2 linked regions of the Caenorhabditis elegans genome follow. The protein of the gene in region 2 interacts with the protein of the main gene of each other region in a pairwise test. Each region holds a gene or a part of one and is shown on either strand. Other genes may lie near its edges.

Region 1 (4,955 bases), on a different chromosome or scaffold from region 2:
GCACTCAAACATACATTGTGATAGCAAATCGGGTTGACCTTATAGTAGTTGATAAGCTCATCAATAGTCGGAAACTTGAATCGCCGCTCAATATAAAACGAGGTCCATTTGCCGGCGGTTTCTTCAATAAACAAATGCATATCCATGTTCTCTTTCTTCACATCCTCCAGATCCCCATAGAAACTTCGTGTGGTGCCGGTTTTTTGTGCTGAATAGGGAACATAATTGTAAAATCTAGAGTTTTTCAACGAACAGTGAGGGCAAGTTCCCCGCAACAGCTTGACAACTTATGAGAAGTTCATTGAATAAGTTTCCAAGCTGCTAGGAAGTTAAAAAAACAAAAAATAAAACAAACTGATATTGACGGACAGAACAAGAATGACACGAGTCAGTGGAATCGGATCAGTGGCACTTTTGTCCGGAGTCGTCGGCTTCTTCGCATTCTTCTCTGGTTGATGCGACAATCTCAGGAGAAAGTCTCCGTTCGTCTTCAACAAGATCAGTTGTAGCTCTTGGAGCACAAAACCATGGAAAAATTGGTATCTCAATAAATAATTGTCAATCATTTCATTAGTTACTCTGGAAATTAAAAAGTGTTTTGGGATATTTGGGATAAAGTTGCTCACCTTCCAACGCTTTTAGTTTTTTCTACATTTTGATACATTGAGTCGTCCGGAAAATTGATCATAACTGAGTTTGAAATACTGCTGCCATCTGTTGTCCTTTCAGTCTTTTCGGTCGTTTCACTCTTACATTCTTTTTTCTCAGATTTCTGAAAATTGAAAATTACATTTTACTATACCAGGAATACCGAATTTGTCTTTTTTTTAAATAATCATACTACAGGCGACCCATTGCAGGAAACTTATTCTAGAATTTCTGATGTCTTATTTTATTTTCAGGTAGACGCGTAGCCAGGTACAGGCAGGCTCGAACTCCCGCACTCCAACTCACCTTCATTGCAAAAATTTTACGACGATTTTGAGTAAAATTATATTGGGAAATAAATAAGTTTGCCTCGTCGTATTTGTTTTTTTTTTCAATTTTTTTCACGGGAGTTTATGTATTTAAACATACAGACAGTGATACAACTCAAATTCAGAAAACTTCCAGGAATCAAACTTCATCTGAAGGATTAACGGTTAAACCAAATTTTCCTGACAACAAAGTGCAAAGTCACTGCTCGACAGTTAGGAACAACTTCCTACTCCTGCCATAATTTAGCATCTTCCTATCAAACCTTTCATCAGCGGCAAGCAGGCAGGCGAGCACGTCTGAAAAATTCATGTCTACTATCGAACCCCTTAGAAAATATATTCATTTTTTGCAATTCACAGGATGTCAAAATATTGAAAATTGTTGCTTATAGAGTGGAAAAAAGGAGATTATTATAATAGCTGGTCTCAAATGTCAACGGCAGAAGTATTTAACTAGATTAATATTTTCAAGTTTCATGTTTTCGGATATGTCACCATTCACCATACACTTTACCATTATCTAAATCTAGAAATGTTACAGTAATCCATGAGCACACAAAATCAGAAAACGAAGAGCAACCTTGTGATGAGCTGGAAAAAGGGGATTAGTAGAGGTGAATGTTGAGAACAGGAAAGAAAGAGAGAGTGAGAGGATCAGAAATACTTTCAATTTATTTATAATTTTATTCACATCACAAATCTCTCTCCACTCAACTGCCCATAGTGATTGATAAGCTCCGGCGTTTCGCCTACTCAACGTTTCCCTCCAAAAACTCCAATCTAACTTTTTATTTTTGTTTCTAGCCAATCTTTTTTTTTTTCTATAGTTTCAGAATCAAATGCTCAATTTTGGAGTCGTTATGTATCAAAAGAAGAGCCCAAGTAATGCAACAGAAAAGTGAGTTCTGAGTGTATCTTACCAAACCGAAAAAAGTAAAAATGCAACCTATAAAACAAGATATTATCTCTCTCATTGCAATAGAAATCTCCCCCTAAAAAAAATCTCTTTGCACATGTCTCTGTCAGTTCTTTTTATGTTTTGCGTGCATAGAATTGCCGATTGTCGGATGATTTTCTTCTTCGTTCGATGAAAGCGGAAATAATAGAGAACAGCGTTTTATTGTGGTTTTTTGTTTTTTCGTGTCAAAGTTTCTGTAAAAGTCATGATGGTAGAATTTGTTCTAACTGTTTTATTCTTTTATTTTTAACTTTCAATTTAATTATAAATCAATTGCATATTATTGTCCATGTAATTAAGCTTTTAAGTTATCAAGAATAAGTTGAAAATTTTATTTGCAAATATTTTTTATGTCGAATTTCGATGCAGATAATGTTTTTTTTTTCCAAAACCGCTAAAATTATTTCAATATTCTTTATTTTTTTTCTATAGTTAAAGAAAAATTTTTTTAGAAAATTAACAAAAAAACTAAAAAATTACCAAAAGTTGTTCATTTTGATGAGAAAAAACATGAAATGTTTTCTCTGAAAAAAAAGGAAAATGGTCAAAATGTTAATATATTTTTGCAAAAATCGAATTGTTTTCGAAATATCTGAAAAACTAAAATTTTTCGGAAACGGTTTTTCTATAATACGCTTTGTATGCCAGGATACATTAAATAGAGAAAAATTGAGACAAAGTCCAATTACTGAAAGTGTAACATTTTTCTTTAAATTATGATCTAGGATAGTTTGTTAATGAAGCGATATTGCTTCTTGTATGCATACCTATGTATGTATGTCATTTCCGAAGTATTATAATATGTATCCTAATCAAGAACATGGATCATAAACATCTTTATTTTTATTATTTTATCTTTATTTTTCAACTCGATGTAAATTAAAAATCTTCACTAGTAGCCAGTAGCTCGACTTTGCAAATGCGTTCGTTTTAGATTTCGTCTTGTTTCCGATTGGCCCGGTTATTACGTAAGCACCTAAATTTTAATGTTATTGCATCTCATCACTACTTAAAAATGAGTCAAGTTTTTGAAATAGAAATACGAGCTTCATTGTGAAGATCACGATATTCTTTTTATTCGAATAAATCTGGTTGCATAGCTGTAGTACGTCAACGGACGAACCTGGATGAAATAGTGAATAAATATATTTTCTATAAAAAGGAGAAAATAAAAGAAATGTTATAGTTGACAGTTAATCCTTTGCATGGTGAATCTGTTGGCGGATGCCAGTTAATCTCCCTGTTTATCCGTATGCTCATATTTTTAAGTCGTCTTCAGTCGTTGTCGTTCTAAAAAATTTGGCCATCGATTGGCTCAGCTTCGTCTTTTTTGCCTCCTTTCACTTCTTCTTTTCTTGTCCGATTTCAGAAAAATTAAGATAATAAATTGCTTCAAATTTTGAAGTGCAATACACTTTCGCAGTCTAAATGCCTCTTGTTTTCTAAAAGTTATGCCAATTATTTATTCTTTAAAAATATTGGACTTACTGCCATGGAAGTCATATAGTTTCGCTACAAAAGTAGTACCTGTTCTGTGGTTTGGGTATTTTTCGAATTAAAATTTTTCCAAACTCAACTTTTTTGTGCAATTCTAAATGTATTTTTATGAGTATTCTTTTTTCTCCCTCTCCTATGTACATCCGCCAGCAGATGCTTGTTGAATTCTTATCGAAAGCTCTTTATCAGAACTTATTTTGAAAAAAATGTCAAGCATTCTCCGAGCATAGGTTTAAAATATTTCTGAAACACAGGTACATTTAACCAATCTCTCAGTTGAAAAGGTTACAATTTTCAGTATCAAATAAAAAAGTATAACACAATAATCTTTTGCACTTGACTCGCGTCATTTATCTGATCAACATGGCTTCATGCTCGGAGAATGTTCTTCTTTCTGCCAAAATGACTCACTGGAAATACTTTGAACATTATCAATGAAATTCAAAATAAAAATCAAAGAATAAGACTTTAAACTTTGAAAATTAGGACTTAAAAATTGTTGTAGAAATGCACCTAGCTCTTCAAATTTTGTTTGCCACTTTTTTACTGAAAATTGATGGCAACATACTTGAATTCTTTGATTTTTTCTCTACTAAAGGAAAACAAAAATCTTTGAAACTTTAAAATCAATGGTTTGTGTTAACTGAATTTGGTTCACCGATAGAACGATTGTTGTAAATCAAGGAGGTTAAAAAATTGAAATATCGATTAGTCATTGATTTTGAAAATTCAAAGCTTCCAGACAGAATGCCTCTTTGAAATACCCTTTGAACTATCAAGCTTCCTCCTCTTCCTCCTCTAAAAATAACGTGAATAAATTGTTCGAAGAGTATGGAATCATCTCATTTCCGATTCATATTCGTTTCCGCTATCAAACAATTTAACAATTTAATATGATATTCAGAGATGAATAAAATGCATTTTCTGCTCGAATGCCTTTTTTAGCTCGAATAAGTTTCTTCTTGCGTATCAGTTGGCAGGTGCAATGCTCAATTTTAATTTTAAGAAAAGTTTACATCAGCAAGCCCTACTTTCTCATTCTCTCCTTTTTAATTTTGTTTCTTTTGTTGTCTTGAAAGAAATTCAAACCCTTAAAGTATAAAATTGAATCAATTGGGTGTTCTTCTAATTGTCTCGTTCATTCAAATATCACTATGCATTAGGGAATGTCATATCAAATTGAATGATGAAAGTAGATTAGAAAGAGAAAAGAGAACATCCATTTAAGTATTCAAGTTAGCTTTTTGATTTTTCTAGATTTTTATGAACTAAAAATTGAGAATATTTACACTTGGCTGAGAACCACGGCGCGAGGAGATCGTTGAAGAGGCTGAAAGAAGCGACATCGCCCAAATATGAGGAGGAATGGCGTCTTCCGTTGAATTTTAGGAATTAGAATTTTTATGAGTATCATCAAGTTAGTTTTAACTTAAAGGTTCCGACAAAACCTTCAGATTATTCCAAGTTTTCTTTTGGATCCTTAGTAAATACAACCTGACATTTACAAAACGCCGAAACATATT
Region 2 (3,170 bases):
TGCCTAGGATTATAAAATACATTTTCTGATTTTGGTTTTTATAAACTTAAAATCTTTGATCTTTGTTTTTCAATTTTAAGATAACATCCAAAATTTTGAAACGTTTCGTTTACAAATAAATTTTTCTTAAACTTTGTTCCAGGGCTTTTGTGGCAATTAGGTTCGTTTCTAACCATATGTGCCTGCCGTAGGCCTGCCTGCATGTCAAACTGTTTGTTAATCAATTTGCAAAAAATTAAAAATAGCCAGTAATGAATGATGTAGGCATCAGGCAAGTGCAGGTCCCGTTAAGGAACGCAGGCATAGTTGTGCCTACGTGGAAGACATAAAACCAGGTGTAAAAAAACAAATGAAGTTTTATAAAAAATTAAAATTAGCAATATTTTACGAACTGTAATTCGCAAAACAAATATCTCAGGGAGCTACATTTTTTTCAAATTTAACTGCACGGGTTTTCGTTTTTTCAGAAATTTCAGGTGCATTTCCCGACTACTTCAAAACCTCTAATTCCAGTTAAAATTCCAGCCATCACAAACAGGGTCCCAGTGACCGTCTATTTCCCACTGCTGCAATCACCTCAACCCCCTAATCATAAAATGTCACATTCCACTTGACATTTATCTGCGTCTCCATCTCGCCAATTATATTTCTCCTCCCACCACTCTCTATCTGTTTCAGAGATTGTTGTTGTGTATGTGGGGGAAGAGTGAGAGAGAGTGCAAGTGACGCAGGCCAAATGAGCACACAACAGGCGATAAGTAGGCGGGGCCAGAGGAAGCAGGTAATGCGCATAAAGGGGAAGAAGAAGAAGATGGTGTGTGTGCAGGTCAGGTTGCCTCAGCAGCAGGAGACCTACTCTTATCTCGCTCTTTGTCATCTTCTTCAGTAGCTCTCCCCGTTCTTGCGTAATTTCTTCCTTGACCTCTCTTCTTTTATCCTGATATTATACTATTACGTTACGTTTTTTAAAAACTACTTTCATCTTCAAATTCTATTAAATACAAATTATTCTATAATAATAAAATTAAACAATATTCTTTAAAAGTTTTGATGCTTCCCATTGATCTAGCAACCTCCTTGGTTTCATAATAATTCAAATAATTTTTAATTGCGTCATAACATTGCTCAGGGTTACGTCCAGATTCTTTTCATTATATTTTTTGAAGAGATTTTCTAGGCACCCTAGGTACTCACTAGAGTTCTCGAGCTCCTGGTTAAATTTACATTTGTTCATCTGTTGATCTGTGACAAAATTTCACGTGAATGCTGTTGAGCTCTTCTTGTTCCTAATAGTCTTTTTATGACTGTCATGATAGGTAGGTTCGCCTTCATGCCTGCCTGCCTGCCTATCTGCATTTCAGCATTTGGCCTATGATCATGTCTATATGCATGCCTCCTTCCCATCCACTTGCCTGCCTCATGCCTACCTTCTTGTCTACCCTCACAGTTCTTTAATTTCGGTCGGAAATGTTTAGAAATTCTTGCATTATTTGGCTGGATTTTTTCCGCTCGGAATTACACACTTCGTCTTGCCACATAATGTATAAATATTATCGATCGAAATAACATGAAATACCGATCAATAACACTGAATATACATTCTTTATTGCTATCTCCATTAGGCAATCTCTTGCAACATTTCTGAAACTAAATTTCTCAATTCAATTTCTTCATTGTTCTACGGAGTTATTTTCAACGTTTCAATCTTTTATCTTTCCTTTTCAAAATTTTCCTCAACTTCTGAATTATTCCAGATCCCCAGTCCATCAAATGGCTCATCGAATGCATATTGGCCAATTCACGAGACAATATCCAGCGGAGACAGCCTTCAAAGTCCAGTCAAACCCATGGAAGAACTCTCCAGAACCATTTCTTCCAATGAGCACCCAACAGCCAAAGTCTTGGGCAGATGTTGGAAAGGTTGCAGGACCCCCAAGAAACTACCATCATCCATATGAAGTCAAACCATTTGAGGCGATTGATGAGAAGAATGATGTGTTCAGTACTATGGGTCATTGGAATTCTGAGCAGAAGCAGAGTCGACAACAGCATCAGCAATACCAGCAGAACCAGTATCAAGCCCGTCAACATCAGTACTATCAGAACCCACCTCCATTCTACCAACCGGAGCAGCCTGTGCACTATCAATCTGCTCAGCAGGATGTCTTTGATAACATTGGCGAATGGGACAATAGCACTCCAATCCCATCGCAAATTTCTCCACTTCAACTGGATCTTACCTTGACCACTCCACTTCCAACCTTCCAACCATATCCATCAACTCGTTCATATTCCTTGGAGTCTCCAACCACATCGGTCACTTCAAATGAGGAGAAGAACAGCTGGAAGACGATCGAATTAATCCTCAACCAAAAGTCGAGCCGTTCGCCATCTATCACCGAACGTCTCAGCCCGGTGGACTTTGGACCATGGACCTCAAACTTGTAAATTCTGAACAATATCCCGATCTCCTTTCCTTTACTACTCGGTTACTATACACAAACGGCTTATTTTCATTCTCTCAAATTTTGATAGTCACATACCTAATTATGTTACGGCTTCTGAAACTGTTTCAGGTGATTTAATTCCCATTGCATTCCTCTTTCCAAAAGATATTTGCAACTTCTTATCCTTTTATCCTTTTAATCAGAAATACGGTTTCTCATTGTGATTCTTTAATCCTTATCGTGGCTTTTGCAATATCAAACCAAAATCTCTAAGTCTCCCTGTTACATGTCCCATCCGATCTTCTCGTATATGCTCCTAGTTATAATCCTTTTTTAATCACAAAACATTAATAATCCGTACTACGGTTGAAACTTTGCACTTCCCATAATCCATCGATTCCATTCAAAAATGCGGTCTCCGTCCGATTTCTTGCTTTTTCTTTTCTTCTCATGTTTGCATCTTCATGTGATTTCACCGATGTGTTCACCTACTTTTCTGGTTAATTTTTTAAAATGAATAACACCTCTTTAATAAATATCTGGTAATTTATAAAATGTTTTGCTATTTTTTGTAAATTATCATTACTATATATAAAGCGCTATTCCGTTTGTCTCTGACGTCACGGGTGACGTCACAACATTCAGCGCAAAAATTTAATAGAGAAAATTTTGAGGCTACTTATGATGAATGCGCACCCGACATCGATCGAGGTACGCGATAAA

What was found.
Region 1: the proteins of F28H1.1 (region 2) and kin-4 interact in a two-hybrid assay, tested with the Caenorhabditis elegans proteins (2 studies listed by BioGRID).

What each region holds. Positions count from the first base shown.
Region 1 is NC_003282.8:11,423,926-11,428,880, forward strand, and holds the start of kin-4 (non-specific serine/threonine protein kinase), read left to right. Parts: upstream 1-1,816; coding exon 1,817-1,875; intron 1,876-2,208; exon of another isoform or gene 2,209-2,229; intron 2,230-4,955. Other genes in the region: F22B3.8 (Tyrosine-protein kinase), read right to left, coding at 15-208, 356-579, 627-772, 955-960.
Region 2 is NC_003279.8:3,993,955-3,997,124, forward strand, and holds F28H1.1 (uncharacterized protein), read left to right. Parts: upstream 1-1,770; coding exon 1,771-2,448; downstream 2,449-3,170.